Arabidopsis thaliana: one gene and its partners. The protein of the gene in region 1 interacts with the protein of each later gene in a pairwise test. Each region holds a gene or a part of one and is shown in the gene's direction. Other genes may lie near its edges.

Region 1 (3,837 bases):
AATTTTTTTTTATTGCATTTTCTCACTTTTTAGTCCTTTCGGAGAAAGATCAAAAGACATTATAGGTCAAGTATTGATTTACAAAGATAAATACATGAATGAGGGTGGTTATGTAGATGTCGATTACTACTCACTATCTCATGACTAATCATCTTGAAAGATCAAAGATCAAACCAAGCTTGCTTGAAAATTCAAAAGCATACGATTTGGGGTCCCATTTGTTGGAAATATTACAGTTAACATGTATTCGTCGATACATCTTCCCTCAAAACATCCATTGCAAGGACTCTCTTAGCTAATAATACTACTCCTAAGGCATTTTACCATTGTTCCAAAAACAAAACTTGAAAAGAAATGAGCTTATGGAGTAAACACTCACGGCTTTGGAGAATGTGACATAGTTGATTCAAGCCTGCGTAACCAGTTAACGTATTGATCCTGCTCCTTCTTGTTCAGGTGACACAAAAGGAAATTAGTTAAGCCTTCACTGACCCCCTTAGATATTAGGTATTGCTCCAGTGCACTGTGTAGTTTGGGATCTACTTGGCTAAAGAAACAAAGAAAATAACACTGGTCATTGAAATCAAACATATGCAGACACATGAACCTCTAATAGTCTACTTCTTTTTCAATATATATAGAACAATTACTCCAGGGAAAGAACAATGGGAAGTGTACCCAATGCTTTGAGGTTTGGATGAAGTAAAACAGATATGATTCAAGTAACTTAAACAAAATGTTGAGAGATTATCATTTATGAGCTTACTTCACCTGAAAAAATGGTCTCCATAAGTGGAAGAAGGAGCAGAAACAAAAGAGCGGATAAAGTAGGCGCTCTCGATGTCGAAATGAGAAGATCCAGATCCTGATTCGTAAACCCGGCAATGAAACTGCAAGATAGAGCTGAGACCAGGCTTTTTGATACAAACTTTGGCATGAGCTTCCCTAGGAAACACTAAATCATCTTCTAGTTCTATAGGTTCTGGTTGCAATAAAGCAGAGACCACAACCTTCTCGCCTGAATCAAACTGTCTCTTCAGAACAATATCTTGGCTTTCCGGTGAATCCCAATCCAATTTGAAATCTCCTAGAGAACCGGTCTCAACGCCCTGTGGGGTTCAAGCACAAAGCAAAATCATAAAGGTAGAATGTAAGTACTTAAAATCCTAGGGTTTATGAGATCCAACATCAAATTCAAATTCGCCCATCTGGTAAATCACTCTAATGTTCATCAATTCAGAAAAATGAAATTGAAACTGACAGAGTCTGATCGAACTAATGTTGAGCACCATTGATCTTAAAACTCAATTGAGAGATTACTGAGAGCAACGAAGAAGAAGAAGGAAAGAGGAAGACAACAATTTACCTGGAAACGAGGATGGGAGATTTCGTGACGAATTTCACTTTGGAGGATCTTCAACAAATCACCATTTTCAATAGCCTTCAAGCCTCGTTTCAGAAGCGGATTCAACTTCCTCATCTCTCTCTTTTCCCTAAAATTGGCTTCTCTCAATCTACGGAGCACAAAAACTAAAGTAGACTGAATCATGATCCGGTTCGGTTTAATTCGGTTTATTTCCGTAGCAATTTCAGTAGACCGGAATTTAAACGGTTAAACCGAATTCTCAGTTACGTAATCATGCAATTTAACAATTACACAGAACCAATCAATCATCAGCTGCACACCAAACTTTTATTTCCCTTGAAGATCAAGGCTTCTCTCAATACATAGTTTCATTCAAAGGGTGATTTTTTGTATTAATAAACAAAAAATGAAGATAGAATTCAGATTTCAGATAGAGTTTCATTATCCATTTTAGTTCAAGCATCTATAACCAGACAATGAAAGAGAATCAACCATATGATGATGTCACGTCACACACACTCCTTATAAACTATATGTGTAGCTTCTAAGGAAACCAAAAACATATAGATCAAAACAAAAAAAACAAACAAATTATGAATTCAGAATGGGAAATGGATTCTGATAGAAAGAAAACATTTTTCAAATGCACAAAGTGGCAATTCGAGGACACACTTGATCCTATTAACTGTCCTTTCCACTATTTCTGCGACAGCATCTATGCCGGCGACTACCCTCAAATCACCGACGTTCTAGTTTTCTTCTTCGTTACGGTTACTTATTTGACGACGCTAATTGTTGTCGTAAGGAAGGTAATATCAAGAAGAAGAAGAGAAAATGATGATGATGGTGATGATGACAAAGCAAGAAGGTACTTACTTCCTTCTGGTCCAATCTCTCTTCCTTTGATCATCTTGATTCTTGCAAAAGGTCAAAGGATCAATACCCTTTTCCCAATTTCCATCTTTGGACCTGCGATACTACAGCTTGTTCAGCTCTCAGTGCTTTTATTTGAGAACAATATCGAAAAAGAAGCGAGTTTTGTCTTCTTCGAAGCCTCTACTATCTCTGGTATTCTCCACGCTAGTCTTTACTTAGACGCTGTGATTCTCCCCTATTATACAGGATTCGATGCTCTGGTCACATCTACTTTCTCTGGAGTCTGCAAGTCTTGTATATGCAGGAAAGAGCCATTAATAGTGGGAGGGAAGATTGTCTCTTACCGAGGATGGTCTAGTACAACGTTCTTGGTGGTTGGTGTTTTGTTTTTGAGGATTATATGCAAGTTATGCAAAGAAGAAGGAATAAATAAAAGAGTTTTGGTGGTTAAAAATGTTGTGCAAGGACTGACATTGCTTGTTCTTATAAGAGATTGTGTGTACTTGGCCGTTATGTCTCCTGTTGAAGAGCCTATCTTGTTTAGGGTTTTTGTGTTTGGTTTTCTTCTTCTGTTGATATGTGTTTATGTAATCACAAAAGTATGTTGTTTGGTTAGTCGGAGACAGAGTAAGAAGACATCAGACACATGAAATTTGAAACAAAAAGGAAAAATCAGAGGCAAGATGAAGTAAATGTAAATGATTGCTTAATGATGAGTTTATATTGGATGTGATGATGAAATGGTAAAACTTAAACATTACTTCTATATCTATTTATATTTATCCTTATTGTAAATAGTTAAATCAAAACAGTGAGAAGTAGTAGTGTCAAGATGACGCAAGATAGTGGTTACAGTTTTAAACAAGAAGAAATAGAAAAGTGGTGTAACACTTGCTAATTTGCTAGATATTCCATTAGGAAATTGCTTTTGAAAGCCTTCTGAGTTGGTTCATCACTTTACCCGAACAAAAAAATGACTTTTTACTTCTACTAGGCATAAATAAGTCTTGGCTTTTTAATTCAATATATTGGTTATGTTAATGTTGAACAAGATTATATTACAGCTAGTATATATACTGCGATGCAATGTTAAATTTTAGATTTAAACTTTGTTAAAGAAGATTAACCTTAAGAAAATAAAATTCCTAGATTTATAAATATATGACTAACCATACATACATACATATTCAAGTTCAGAAGTCATAGAATTATATCAATAATTAGGTGGTACCACTGTACTATCTTGTATTGTTATTTGTAGCATTGGATAGTTTTACGAAGTTTGTACTTATACATAATGATTAATGAGATCGTCGATCTCTGGTATGCTATTCCGATGACTAATTTATCCCCAAGAACCTACGAACAGAGATTATTGTTACATGAGTTCTCATTGATCATGGGTGTACTTTTATTGATATTAATTGATGAGATTCTAGATCGAACCTCACTTAAACATAAAACATACGAGAAGAAGAGATTCGTGATCCGTAGTAGCTCTGCTTATTCAGATATGACCACACCAATAGAGATGATAAGGACCCAAAAGCATGTACTTACCGAATTACTATGGCTATTGTAAACTTATGCTTAAA
Region 2 (3,856 bases), on another chromosome or scaffold:
TCAATGGTTCCGTAGAATAATGTTTTTTAATTACTTGATAAATTATTTATACAAAATTAATTAGGTGATAGTTCCTCAGTATTCCTCAAAAATTAAAAGCCACCCAATATATTTTTGTAAAACATTATGCATTACTAAATAAAATTTTATTTTTTAATTAAAAAGATATAATGAGAATCAAAATTTCTTCTTCTCATCTTTGTTTGTTTCTTTGGTCATTTTTAAGAGCTAAATCATCTTATCATTTGTATTTAAATTGTTTTTTCTGCATATATGATTCGAATTTATCAAAAACAAAATGTTGAAGATGCATCCAAAATAATTGAGAAGGGATTAAGTGATATTATTACCCAGGTCTAGTCGACTTAAATGATTTTCAAAAAATATGATGATCTGTTGTTCTTACAAACTCAGATTCCTAGCTAGTGTAGAGCTTCCAGAGTTCTCATTGTGTCTTGTTTGTGTCTTTACGAGAGGTTTGGAACAAATTTCTTGATCTTATCGTTAGGTTTGATCCCACACGCGAAGCAATATAAAGATTGTGATTTTTAGTATTGTGCAAGAATTCACAAAACACATAAAAATATCTTGTGATGATCAACAAGACTAGTAAACAAGTCTATCAACCTTACATGTAGAAGTGCACTGGTCGAATAACGAGGATGAGATTTGTAGGTCAAAACTGTAATTGATGGTAAATAAACATTGGCGATCATGATGTTATAAGGGGTATCAAAACCAAACTTAATTGAGTGTTTAGCAATGTGGCATCACAGTACCATTGGGGGAATCAGTATTATATTTTACTTTGTTACTGAGAAAATATTCAAATATTGGTTAGTAGATATAGACTAAAATAGTTACCGAGGAATAGATATTATTAAGATGTGACCACACTTTCTCATGAACTTTTGTAGCAAGTTCATAGAAAAACATGTGTAAAAGAAACATGGTGTTGCTATTTAGCCGCATATATATGAGGGCTTAATCTCGTCGCTATTTAACAATAGAAATAGTCGACGTCATTTGTTTCTACCAAGGGACTTAAACTTGTCCTTTGTCAATGCGTAGTTTTGTGGCTTCGGATTTTAAAAAATTGTTTCTGAATTTATATAGATCTAACAACCTTTGTAAGATTAATGCTTTAGATACTAATATACTATCAATGAAAAAGAGTATTTACTTTGTTTTCACATTTATAGGAAAAAATTAGAAATCTTCATTTACAAAACGACATTCGTAGTTTGAGGTTATTACTTTTTGGCGAAAAGAAAAGAAAAGTTTGAGGTTATTACTAACGATGCCAACTATCAAAACAAAATTTATGTTAGTAACCAATTATGTGGGTGTTTGGTTGAGTAGTAACTTTCCTTTTTACTGTTGTTCGGCAGTAGCTATAAACTTTTTGTTGTATGATTACATGTGTTGGTTGTAGATGTAGAGTTTGATTGGTAAAGTTAATTAAATATTGAGGATTCAAAATTTAAGTTTATCAATTTAAAATTATAACATAATATTAAATGAGATAACAAATAAATAATAAATAGTAAATTTCATATGTATAACACATTGTTTGGTCAATTTTATAATTTTTTTTACCTCAAAAATATGATAAGATTTTTTTGTTGTCTTATGTTTAAAGTACAACGTACTCATATAATCTTATGCTTGTGAAAGTTAAAAATAATTTCTGTCCCGCTTGATGATTATGTCATTTTATTCTACAAATTTTTTTTGGCAACCGATATTAATTAGAATTCAAAGAGTTAATCCGAGAGATATTGTTTATATATATGGTATGATGCAATTCGGTATAATTCTTTCATACCAAATTATCCGTTTTTACATTTACACTACAAAAAATTAAAAATAAAGAAAAGTTTGTGAATTCCTTCTTGTCATTCCAAAATTTATCTTTTTTTTCCTAATTTTTCGGTATAATTCTAATTACTCTATGATCAAAACCATAAATAAAGATAAAACTGAACAAACACAAAAACTTGGATCCAAAAATACGGTTGGGACATTACCACATTTATGGCGGCATTCAATTCAATTGATTGCCACGCATTTTTCCAAAAGAATATACCCTATATAAAAAAATCCATTAAATATTATCTTTAACACATAAATGAAATCTTTCTCCTACATCCTACATAATCTGTGAATCTTCTTTCCATGTTTACACTGTTATAAAGCAACTTCAACTAATCCCGTTTTAAATATAAGCTATCTACTCTCTCTTAGCCATAATGGGAAACGAAGCAGCACTAAGATCATCAATGGTAGGTCTTGCAGTGGTGATGGTAGTTGTATGGTTATGGACACAGTCTTTAAAGAAGACGGTTGTTACTTACGCCGTCGGTATTTCTCTTATTGGCGGCATACTTTTGCCGGATTGGGACTTCTTTGATCGGAGTTTCTCTCGGTGGGGCTATCCTGTCACCGCCGAGGAAAGATCAGCCGCTCTCGCCCGCAAATCTCATCCTTCAAGGTTACTTGTTTATCTTATCTCAATATCAAACTAGTTGTTTTATCATATCATTATATATTAATCTTTGAATTATTAGATCTAAATTTTGGTTTAGCTTTATTGCCTTAAAACCTATTGGATAAACATAAATCATACATACAATTTTTTTTTTGTCAACCGATATTAATTTGGATTCAAAAGAGCGAATCTCAAACCATACATACAATGTTAGGTTCCATTTGCAATGTATGTATTATTGTATATCTACGAATTAGGTGTACAAGTTATGATTGAATTTGTTTATTTTCGTGAATATTTTCTATTGATTTTAATTGTTAGATCCAAATTTTGGTTTGGTTTACTGGCCTAATTAATGGATAATGGATACATCTTTGGACCAAGTAATGCAGGTTTAGAGTGTACCCTATGAGGATGGTTTTATACGGCACGGTCTATGGATATGCAGTGTATAGGTGGTGGATGTTCGTATCAAATTATTGAAGCCATATTGTATTTACTTGGTCCATCTTTTTTATGGTTTAGTGTTGTTGATTAACAAAATATTTAGCTTCGTTTTATTTTAACTTTGTAGAACATGTAAGACTACCAGATTACATATTGGTGTGTCCACATAAGATGGACAAAAATTGTCAAATGGATTGTGGTATACAAAATTGACCCAAAACAAAACTCCTAGAGACTCTAAATGAGCATTCTACCACCAAATTCTGTCCCACATCAGAAAGATCTTTAGGTTAAAAGTGAATGTCTCTAGGTTGTTTCGCAAGAAGGAGCAGGAGGGGGAGGAGGAACACCGAAGACCCAATCTAGTACGTTCAAGTATTTTGATCGAAATACGTCTCTTTCTTGTGCGTAACAATGCATTATAATGGCTGTCGAAACGCTGAACACAACCACATCCGCTCTTCTTAAACTCTTGGGCGGTCGAATGTATCCTGCCTCTGTCATGCAAGTAAAGAAGCTCTCTATCGCCCTCGCTAAGCAGTATAGTGATATCTCTATCCTTCTGCTTTTCTTCTCAATAGCTAAAGCCAGACCTGTTGGGAACTGCAGGAGAAGCCTAACGTTAGGTATTATATTAACAATGATATGTGATGAGAATGGCTTTCGTTTGTACTGTTGCTATGGCCACAAGCGGTATGTTGCATGTCTCAAAAGTGCGGAATAGTAGACAAGTCCAAGCCCTATTTTACATCATTATAGAGATGGTCTAAGTTCCAACTTCAAGTGAGAACAAAACAAAAATCGATAAGAGCCTTCCAAGAATTGATTCTAACCAGGCAGAAGAGCAGTAAGTAGCGAGAAACAAACTTGATCTCGCTGTGCCCAGAAGACCCTTGCCAAGTATAGAGTATTGCCTGT
Region 3 (4,681 bases), on another chromosome or scaffold:
GACATTGAATTGCCTAAGAAAATGGAGACACTAAAAAAACGTAGTCATTGTTTTGAATTCTCTGTGAGGCAATTCGTCGAACACCTGGTGACTTACATCGAGATGTTTCTGCATAGCTTTTGCCCTCTTCCTTGGCCGGCGAGATGACCTGTTCCCACTCATGCTGAACAAATCTTCTTCGATCTCGTCTCGAGCTAGAGCAACCCAAAGCCTATGATTCTCGTTTGCAACCTCACCACCGCCTAATCCGGGTGATTCCGCCGGGATTCCTCTCTGCCTGTTCGATTTCGGCTCAATTCCTGCGCCTGATTTCTGATTCTTCACCTCCGAACCTCCTCCTCCGCCGCCACCGCAAACCTCCGCCGTGAACACGCCGTTTCCTTTCTTCGAACCACCATAAGCCTTCCTCGGACGAAGATTCCACGTCCTCTTCGCTTCCTCCTCCTCCGTTTCTTCTCTCTCCTTCACCGACACCGGCACTTCCTCTCTCGCGGGAGAAATCTCATCGGATTTCAGCTTCTTCAGGTTATCGTGCTCTGATGAGGGAGCAAAGGAGGAGAAAGAGAGACGCGGCTGACGACTTGACCGTGACGCCACGACACGGTTAGAAACAGCCACCGTCTCCGCCGATTGAGAAGCAGACCTCTCCGACTTGGAATTCGCAGACATTGGTATGAGATTATACCAAAACGTATTCACCTGAGAGATGATCAAAAACCCTAGAAGGTAAAAAGCAGAGAGGAGAGAGAGAGATGTAGGAGATTTACGGAAGCTGATGCATGCGTAAGTTTCTAATTATGTTTTTATTCATGGGGTGTTATTGGTTTATGATTTCAAAAGACTTTTAGTGTTTTAAAGTGTTATTTAGAATTTATTGTTATTCGATCACGATTTGTTAAAAGTATGTTATATTTTGTTGGCTAAAATAAATCATTAGTTAATTATTTTATATCCTGATATATCAACATCAATTATCATCCTTCTGATATGGGGATTAATATATGTTAACAATAAATCCAGAAAATTACGTTTAGATTTAGACATATAAATAAAGAGATCTTAAAGAAAAGAAGAGAAAAAAAAGAACCCGTAAAAAGCTTAAAAGACTACAACTGCTTAAGTCTATCAATGATGATCAATATATTCATGTAAGTGCTAAATAGGTTAATTTCTCTAGTGAATTCGATTTTGGACTAAAAATCAACAAATATTAGATCATCTAGTGAATTCGATTTCTCTAGGCCATCAAAGAATATTATTAGTTAGGTCCAAAGACCTAAATTTATTTTTGTGTATAAATTTAATAAAATAGAAATTTACATTTTGATATTTTTAATATTATTTTGGTGACAAAATATTTAGAAATTTTTTATATTTTTAAATATTCTTTTATTTTCATATATTTTTTATTTTATTTTACAAAAATTTAAAAAGAATAAAAATAAAAATAAGTTCATAAATATTAATTAGCAAGATATCTAATCTCCATTGCTTGTTTAAAATGTTATGTGGACGCGCAAATAGCTTCGTATAGATTATGTTACAAAAAGATTTCTAAAATTAACTATGTTTAAGTTCGTATTATTTTAGTTAAGGCCCATCAGAGAATATTAGTTAGGCCCAAAACAGTGACACTCACCGTTTTGGCATCTTCTACACATGAGCAAAACTAGACGCAACGCAATGATGGCGACTAAAACCTCAGAGCAAAAAACATGAACAACTTCTTCAATCCCAGTAGACCAAGCCCACGTCCATGGCCAAACAGGAAGAAGCAAACCGACAAATCTGCGATATTTCTTTGCTCCGTTTCTATACTTGTTGTGTTCTTCATCGTCGTCTTCTTCATCACTTACTCCGAGATGCCCAAGTCCTTGTTCTCAATCTCTGCATTTTCTGGATCCGTTCAATTCCCTCAGTGCAGATCCGAGATACTAACCCGAACTCTTCTAGGTCAGAAGTTTCTCTGGTACGCTCCTCACAGTGGATTCAGTAATCAGCTATCGGAATTTAAGAATGCGCTTCTTATGGCGGGAATTCTTAATCGGACCCTAATTATTCCTCCGATTCTGGATCATCACGCCGTTGCTCTCGGTAGTTGTCCTAAATTTAGGGTTTTGAGTCCCAGCGAGATACGAATCTCAGTTTGGAATCATTCAATTGAGCTTCTTAAGACTGACAGGTACAAAATCTCTTTTTTTTTTCGTAATGAGTTTTAGTAATTTGATCAATGTGGGTGACAAATGTTGGTGTTTATAGGTACGTTTCGATGGCTGATATTGTAGACATTTCGTCGCTGGTATCTTCTTCGGCTGTTCGAGTCATTGATTTTAGGTACTTTGCATCACTACAGTGTGGTGTTGACTTGGAGACTCTATGCACTGATGATTTAGCTGAACAGTCTCAGGCTTATGAGTCACTGAAACAGTGTGGCTATTTGTTATCTGGAGTTCGTGGTAATGTAGATAAATGTTTGTATGCTGTGGATGAAGATTGTAGAACCACTGTTTGGACTTATAAAAATGGAGAAGCTGATGGGAGATTAGATTCGTTCCAGCCTGATGAGAAGCTCAAGAAGAAAAAGAAATTGTCCAACGTGAGAAGGCGAAGAGATGTGTATAAGACTCTTGGACATGGTACAGAAGCTGAGTCTGCAGCTATTCTAGCATTTGGGAGCCTCTTCACAGCTCCATACAAAGGCTCAGAGCTGTATATCGATATCCATAAATCTCCAAAGATAAAATCTTTGGTTGAGAAGGTCGATTTCCTTCCTTTTGTTCGAGAGATAATGATCGCGGGAAAGAAATTTGCTTCAGAAACCATAAAGGCGCCGTTTCTTTGTGCACAACTTAGATTACTAGATGGCCAGTTCAAGAATCATCGGGAGAGCACTTTTACGGGTTTATATCAGAAGTTGGAAGCTTTGAGCGTTAAGAATCCTGGTCTAATTAATGTGTTTGTAATGACAGACCTTCCTGAATTTAACTGGACCGGAACTTACTTGGGTGATTTGTCTAAGAACTCTACAAATTTCAAGCTCCACTTTATAGGGGAACAAGATGAATTCTTAGCGCGAACAGAGCATGAACTTGATTCAGCGAGTCACGGCCAGAAATTTGGGTCTATTCCGATGAGTCTTGATAGTATAAAAAAGATGCAGACCCATTGTTACCCTCATGGAGGATCCAATGTGCAGCTTTACATAGAGGAAGCTGTTTGTAGCTGTGCTTCACTGGGTTTTGTTGGTACTCCAGGGTCTACAATAGCTGATAGTGTAGAGATGATGAGGAAATACAATGCGTGTAGTAGTAGTTGAACTCAGACTGCATTTCTATTGGATTCATCTGGTGGATGAGCCAATGTGTAGTGATTTTATTAAGTTTTGCCGGTCTTTGTATAGAGATGGATAGAGATAGATGATAGATCTGTCATCTGTCTCCACTTGAAGTTATTGGTGATGAAAACAGGCTCTTAAATTGTTTTGTGTTGTTAAGTTATTTGGGAAACTATCTAAGTTTCTTATTAATAGATGAAGCTACTTGGTTCCTTTCTGATTATTCACACACAACAATGGAAGAGTAAAGGTTGCGTGGGATGGTTGCTTAGTAAAGGTTTTGTGAGTTCTGTAGATGTCTCTAGTGGTCGACAAGATTTGTAATTGTTGTACCAATGTCTTTAAACCGGCTATTGAATAAGAAATTTTGTACCAAATAAATCTAGTGAAAGAGGGTTGGTTGAGAAGAAATGTAATTATATTAAACCGGAAATGAAATTTTACGTCGATGTGTATTTTGTGACCAATGAGATCTCTCCACGTAAACAGATTCCACGTGCAGCTTCAGGCCGATTTAAGCGAATTTAATCTGTCGTTTTGTTGGGTTCCCGTCGGTGACATCCACCGCGAACATTTCGACCGGAGTTTTGAGAGAGCTCAGAGTGTTTCGAGTGTGTTATTTGGATCTGCGATCTGATCGTCTCGCATCGACGTGAAAGGTTTTCTAATCCAATTGGTTCTGTGGAAATTTGGATTCGGAGGTTTTTGTTTGGAAGATCTTTCTGCGGTTTTCACCGCCATGGCTGCTCCGTTTTTCTCTACTCCATTTCAGCCTTATGTCTATCAGGTTTGTCTTCTATCTTCGTTCTCTTCTCGCCTCTTAGATTCGTATTCTTGTCTGTCACTATCGAGAAGGCTAGTGTTCGAATATACTTCTTCGCGAGTATTTTAGGATCCTTTCTCATGTAGGTGTTGAGTAATGTGATGTGTACTTACATCTAATTCAGTGATAATGCTAATAAGCTATTTCCTGGGTGAGAAATTGATCTCTTGAATGTGTCTGTGGGAGTATGAATCTCACAAGTGGTTATATGATGCAGAGTCAAGAAGATACGATCACACCTTTCCAAATTTTGGGTGGTGAAGCACAGGTTGTTCAGGTAGGTCGACATTTTATTTTGTAGTCTGGGCATTTTGTGTTTATGTGATTGACATATATACTCAAGCATTTGATTGTTTTTTTGACAGATAATGTTAAAACCACAAGAGAAGGTCATTGCTAAGCCTGGTAATTTCCATATTATGATTCCTCATTAAGTTTTGTAAGATCTGTTGGGTTGGATTGTATATGTTAACTGATTATATATGGTTCTTTAGGTTCAATGTGCTACATGTCTGGGTCCATTG
Region 4 (4,227 bases), about 11 Mb from region 1:
GTTTTACAACAAATTTTTGTTAAAAATTACAATTACTACACAGTCACATAGTGATAACAGATTTGTTTTTAGTGATAACAGTTTTGTTTTTCAGTGTCAAAGCATAACAGATTTTCTCATGTCAATGTTATGGCCGATTTGTTTATCACTAGAATAACCTTTTTAGTAATAACAGATTTTTTGTTAACAGATTTGTTTTTAAAATCTTTAATTTTTTTATTACATGAGTTTTATTAGCTAAGCAATTTTACTCAAGTAAAATCTTTCCGGTTTGATTATATGTTAAAATCGGTTTGATTCAATTTAACTTTAAAAAAAAAATCGATAACATCACCACAGAAAACAGCCCACCAAAACCTACTAATCCTCATAATTCAAAAGTGATAACATACAATCTGCCATTCTTAAACAATCTACGACAATATTACTTTAATTGATAAAAAATAAAATGTGGAAAATGATTTACGAACTACAACGGATTGATAAGAAATAGACTTTTCGGTGTTACTCGAAAACATGATCTTAACTTTTCGGTGTACAAGAACTGGAAAACACGAGCGAAGGGCTTTTTAATTTTACATACTAAAGTTCTTAACTTTTAGTTTGCCCATTTGCTTAGTACGTTCCTTTACAAGCTATGACAACATTAATTTAATTGATAAGAAATAGAAATGTGGTTTCCATAACCGGATTTCTGAGTTTTGTTATTTTTACATTTGTTTATTTATTTTTATTAGTAATTCTTTTTTTTTTTAATCAAAATATAGTTTTAATACTGACTGAGGTTAAATAGTCTTTTAACTTAAAATATGAGTCATAATAGTTAGTCATCGATTATTGGGAGTCACAATAGTTATTTCTATTAAGATTAGAGTCAGTCTAAGCAATTTTCACTAAAAAAAATGAGAAATATGTTGAGTAATAATGGACTTGGTCAAAGGTTCTAGGCGGAAACCAAACCATAGTTCTATTCGTGTAATGTTAGAGCCTTACAGTTCAATCGTTTTGGAATATCTTTTTGAGCGTTTGTTAATCGAGTTTAGGAATTTGACTATGGTAAATCGTTTCAGCAATGCACATGACTTTATCTAATTCATTATATGGATAAAAAATAAGTGATTATATTTGAAGAGTGGGAATGTAAACAGATCTCAATATATGTTCAGTAACAAAATGTTGCATATTTCACTATATTAATTCAAGTTTGCATGCTGCGGAGGGAGTATAGAGTCACATGGGTCAATTGACCCTGGTTAAATTTAAAAAATTAGCTGAAGTTTTATTTAATATGTTAGATTGACTCTAATCAAATAAGAAAATTGACCCCTATAAAACAATTTACTTGAGAAGACTTCTAATAGTTAAGCCCAACAACTATATTGTATTTAGGTAATTGTACTTGTATATAGAATTCACCTCAATAATATTTTGTTTTAAAAGTAAATATACTATAATTAAGCCCATTAATATACTTTAACCTATTATTTAACATTTTTTGTATTCTAAAAACGTTATAGTTTCTTTTTTCTTATTTTTTTTCTTTGTTTCAATCTTCAATCTTGAGTTTATAACTTATGCGGTTTTAGAAAGAATTTTTTTTTGACCCCGATGGATCGATACGCTGGCTCCGCCACGTGCCAGACAATCCCTACTTCTTTAGATTCCAAGATTACAATATTGTAACACCCGTTAATTCACAACAGCTCTCTTATTGACATTTTTTTCGTTAATTATTTCTAAATCACAATTTGGAATTCTAACAACAAAAACAAAAAACAATTTTATTGGTAACTCAACAATAAACAAAACAAATTTGGAATCACGTTCGGAGATCGTGTGTAGTCAACTCAACAATTCACATTAAAATATTCGAAGTCTTATTTACATGATCTGTGGTTGATAATAGAAGTTATAATCAAGCTATATAAAAGTTGTAAACTCTTTTTGAATCATCTCACACTTATAACCGATCAAACGAAAGTCAACAACTAACACAAATTTCATATCTCCAACAAAGGCTTTGGGGTTGAAGATGAAAATTCTGATCGCGGTCGTCTTTGGTTGCTTACTAATTATACTATCATTCTCAAAATACTTCAACGACCAACTTCTTGATGCTACAACCAAAGGTAAGAAAATTATCCATATCTTGTGTTTTATTGTTAACCCAATGAATCCTCAGTTCATATCATTTTCTTGTTATAGATATAAAGGAATCCGAAAGACCGGTGGATAAACTTATAGGAGGGCTTTTAACTGCGGATTTTGATGAAGGTTCTTGCTTGAGTAGGTATCATAAATATTTCTTGTACCGCAAGCCTTCTCCATACATGCCTTCGGAATATCTCGTCTCTGAGCTTAGAAGCTATGAGATGCTTCACAAACGTTGCGGTCCGGATACCAAGGCTTACAAAGAAGCAACAGAGAAGCTTAGTCGTGATGAGTACTATGCAAGCGAATCAAATGGTGAATGCAGATACATTGTATGGCTAGCTAGGGACGGGCTTGGAAACAGATTAATTACTCTTGCTTCCGTGTTTCTCTACGCTATCTTGACTGAGAGAATCATTCTTGTTGACAACCGCAAGGATGTTAGTGATCTCTTATGTGAGCCATTTCCAGGTACTTCATGGTTGCTTCCGCTTGACTTTCCAATGCTGAATTATACTTATGCTTATGGCTACAATAAGGAATACCCTCGTTGTTACGGTACAATGTTGGAAAATCATGCCATCAACTCGACTTCAATTCCGCCACATCTATATCTCCATAACATCCATGATTCTAGGGATAGTGATAAGCTGTTCTTCTGCCAAAAGGATCAAAGTTTTATCGACAAAGTCCCATGGTTAATTATTCAAACCAATGCTTACTTTGTTCCATCTTTATGGCTGAATCCAACTTTCCAAACCAAACTAGTTAAGCTATTCCCGCAGAAAGAAACCGTCTTTCACCATTTGGCTCGGTATCTTTTTCACCCTACAAATGAAGTTTGGGATATGGTCACTAAGTACTACGATGCTCACTTGTCCAATGCAGACGAGAGACTTGGGATTCAAATAAGGGTTTTCGGAAAACCTTCTGGATATTTCAAACATGTCATGGACCAAGTCGTAGCATGTACACAAAGAGAGAAACTGTTGCCTGAATTTGAAGAAGAATCAAAAGTCAATATATCTAAACCACCAAAGCTTAAAGTAGTTCTTGTCGCATCTCTCTATCCAGAGTACTCTGTCAACTTAACTAACATGTTTTTAGCGAGGCCAAGTTCTACAGGAGAGATTATCGAAGTTTATCAGCCAAGTGCAGAAAGAGTGCAGCAAACAGACAAGAAAAGTCACGACCAAAAGGCGCTTGCTGAGATGTATCTTTTGAGTTTAACCGATAACATTGTCACAAGCGGATGGTCTACATTTGGATATGTTTCATACAGTCTTGGAGGATTAAAGCCATGGTTACTTTATCAGCCAGTAAATTTCACCACTCCTAATCCACCGTGTGTTCGATCCAAGTCGATGGAGCCATGTTACCATACTCCTCCTTCGCATGGATGTGAAGCTGACTGGGGAACTAACTCGGGGAAGATTCTTCCTTTTGTTAGGCATTGTGAGGATATGATGTATGGGGGGCTTAAGCTATATGATGACTTTTAGTTCTATTTTATCACATTTGATTATTGAGTTCTTAAAATCAAAAGAGAAATTCTATCTCTCTTTACAGTTTATTAATATGTTAGATTTTTTTAAAACGTTTACGAGGTTTGCATGATTTAGAATAACTGTTGGTGTGTAGAGAAAGGAGACCACGTCCCTAAAGGAATGAGCCGCCATCGAGAAAGGGATACACAATCGAACACTCAAGAACCCTAGAAAAGAGCCTACAAAGAACCTTAATCTTCTTTATCTTCTCTTCCATCTTTTCACTGATTTTTTGGATTCGTCTAAGGTTTGGGAACGATATCATACTGCACCACTATGGATGCAAATTCACCAAGGCACACGGCTACAAAGGTGTTCACGAAGATCTTCTAGAAAGAAGACTGATAGGCCAGAGTTTGAGCTTGATTCTTCAGGAGAATACTTTGCTCCTCCAGGAGTCGAGATTGCTTCTCCAAGAGGAGGAGGTGCTTCTCCATGTTTTCCCTCCAAGACACTTCCAAAAACGGTGTTACAAACAGAGATCGCAAAACAAATGAGGAATATTAAAAAAAAACATTGTTCAACCTAG

Evidence for each region.
Region 2: the proteins of AT2G41610 (region 1) and AT1G34640 interact in a protein complementation assay, tested with the Arabidopsis thaliana proteins (one large-scale study listed by BioGRID).
Region 3: the proteins of AT2G41610 (region 1) and AT4G17430 interact in a protein complementation assay, tested with the Arabidopsis thaliana proteins (one large-scale study listed by BioGRID).
Region 4: the proteins of AT2G41610 (region 1) and FUT10 interact in a protein complementation assay, tested with the Arabidopsis thaliana proteins (one large-scale study listed by BioGRID).

What each region holds. Positions count from the first base shown.
Region 1 is NC_003071.7:17,345,222-17,349,058, forward strand, and holds AT2G41610 (uncharacterized protein), read left to right. Parts: upstream 1-1,935; 5' UTR 1,936-1,959; coding exon 1,960-2,892; 3' UTR 2,893-3,018; downstream 3,019-3,837. Other genes in the region: AT2G41600 (Mitochondrial glycoprotein family protein), read right to left, coding at 376-547, 772-1,109, 1,367-1,549.
Region 2 is NC_003070.9:12,686,824-12,690,679, reverse strand, and holds AT1G34640 (peptidase), read left to right. Parts: upstream 1-2,136; 5' UTR 2,137-2,252; coding exon 2,253-2,494; intron 2,495-2,883; coding exon 2,884-2,974; 3' UTR 2,975-3,128; downstream 3,129-3,856. Other genes in the region: AT1G34630 (uncharacterized protein), read right to left, coding at 3,245-3,541, 3,612-3,678, 3,772-3,852.
Region 3 is NC_003075.7:9,723,836-9,728,516, reverse strand, and holds AT4G17430 (O-fucosyltransferase family protein), read left to right. Parts: upstream 1-1,682; 5' UTR 1,683-1,715; coding exon 1,716-2,182; intron 2,183-2,259; coding exon 2,260-3,316; 3' UTR 3,317-3,807; downstream 3,808-4,681. Other genes in the region: AT4G17440 (chromogranin (DUF1639)), read right to left, coding at 97-669; AT4G17420 (Tryptophan RNA-binding attenuator protein-like protein), read left to right, coding at 4,074-4,121, 4,375-4,434, 4,523-4,562, 4,652-4,681.
Region 4 is NC_003071.7:6,687,566-6,691,792, reverse strand, and holds FUT10 (fucosyltransferase 10), read left to right. Parts: upstream 1-1,973; 5' UTR 1,974-2,032; coding exon 2,033-2,129; intron 2,130-2,205; coding exon 2,206-3,653; 3' UTR 3,654-3,671; downstream 3,672-4,227. UniProt on the Arabidopsis thaliana protein: May be involved in cell wall biosynthesis. May act as a fucosyltransferase.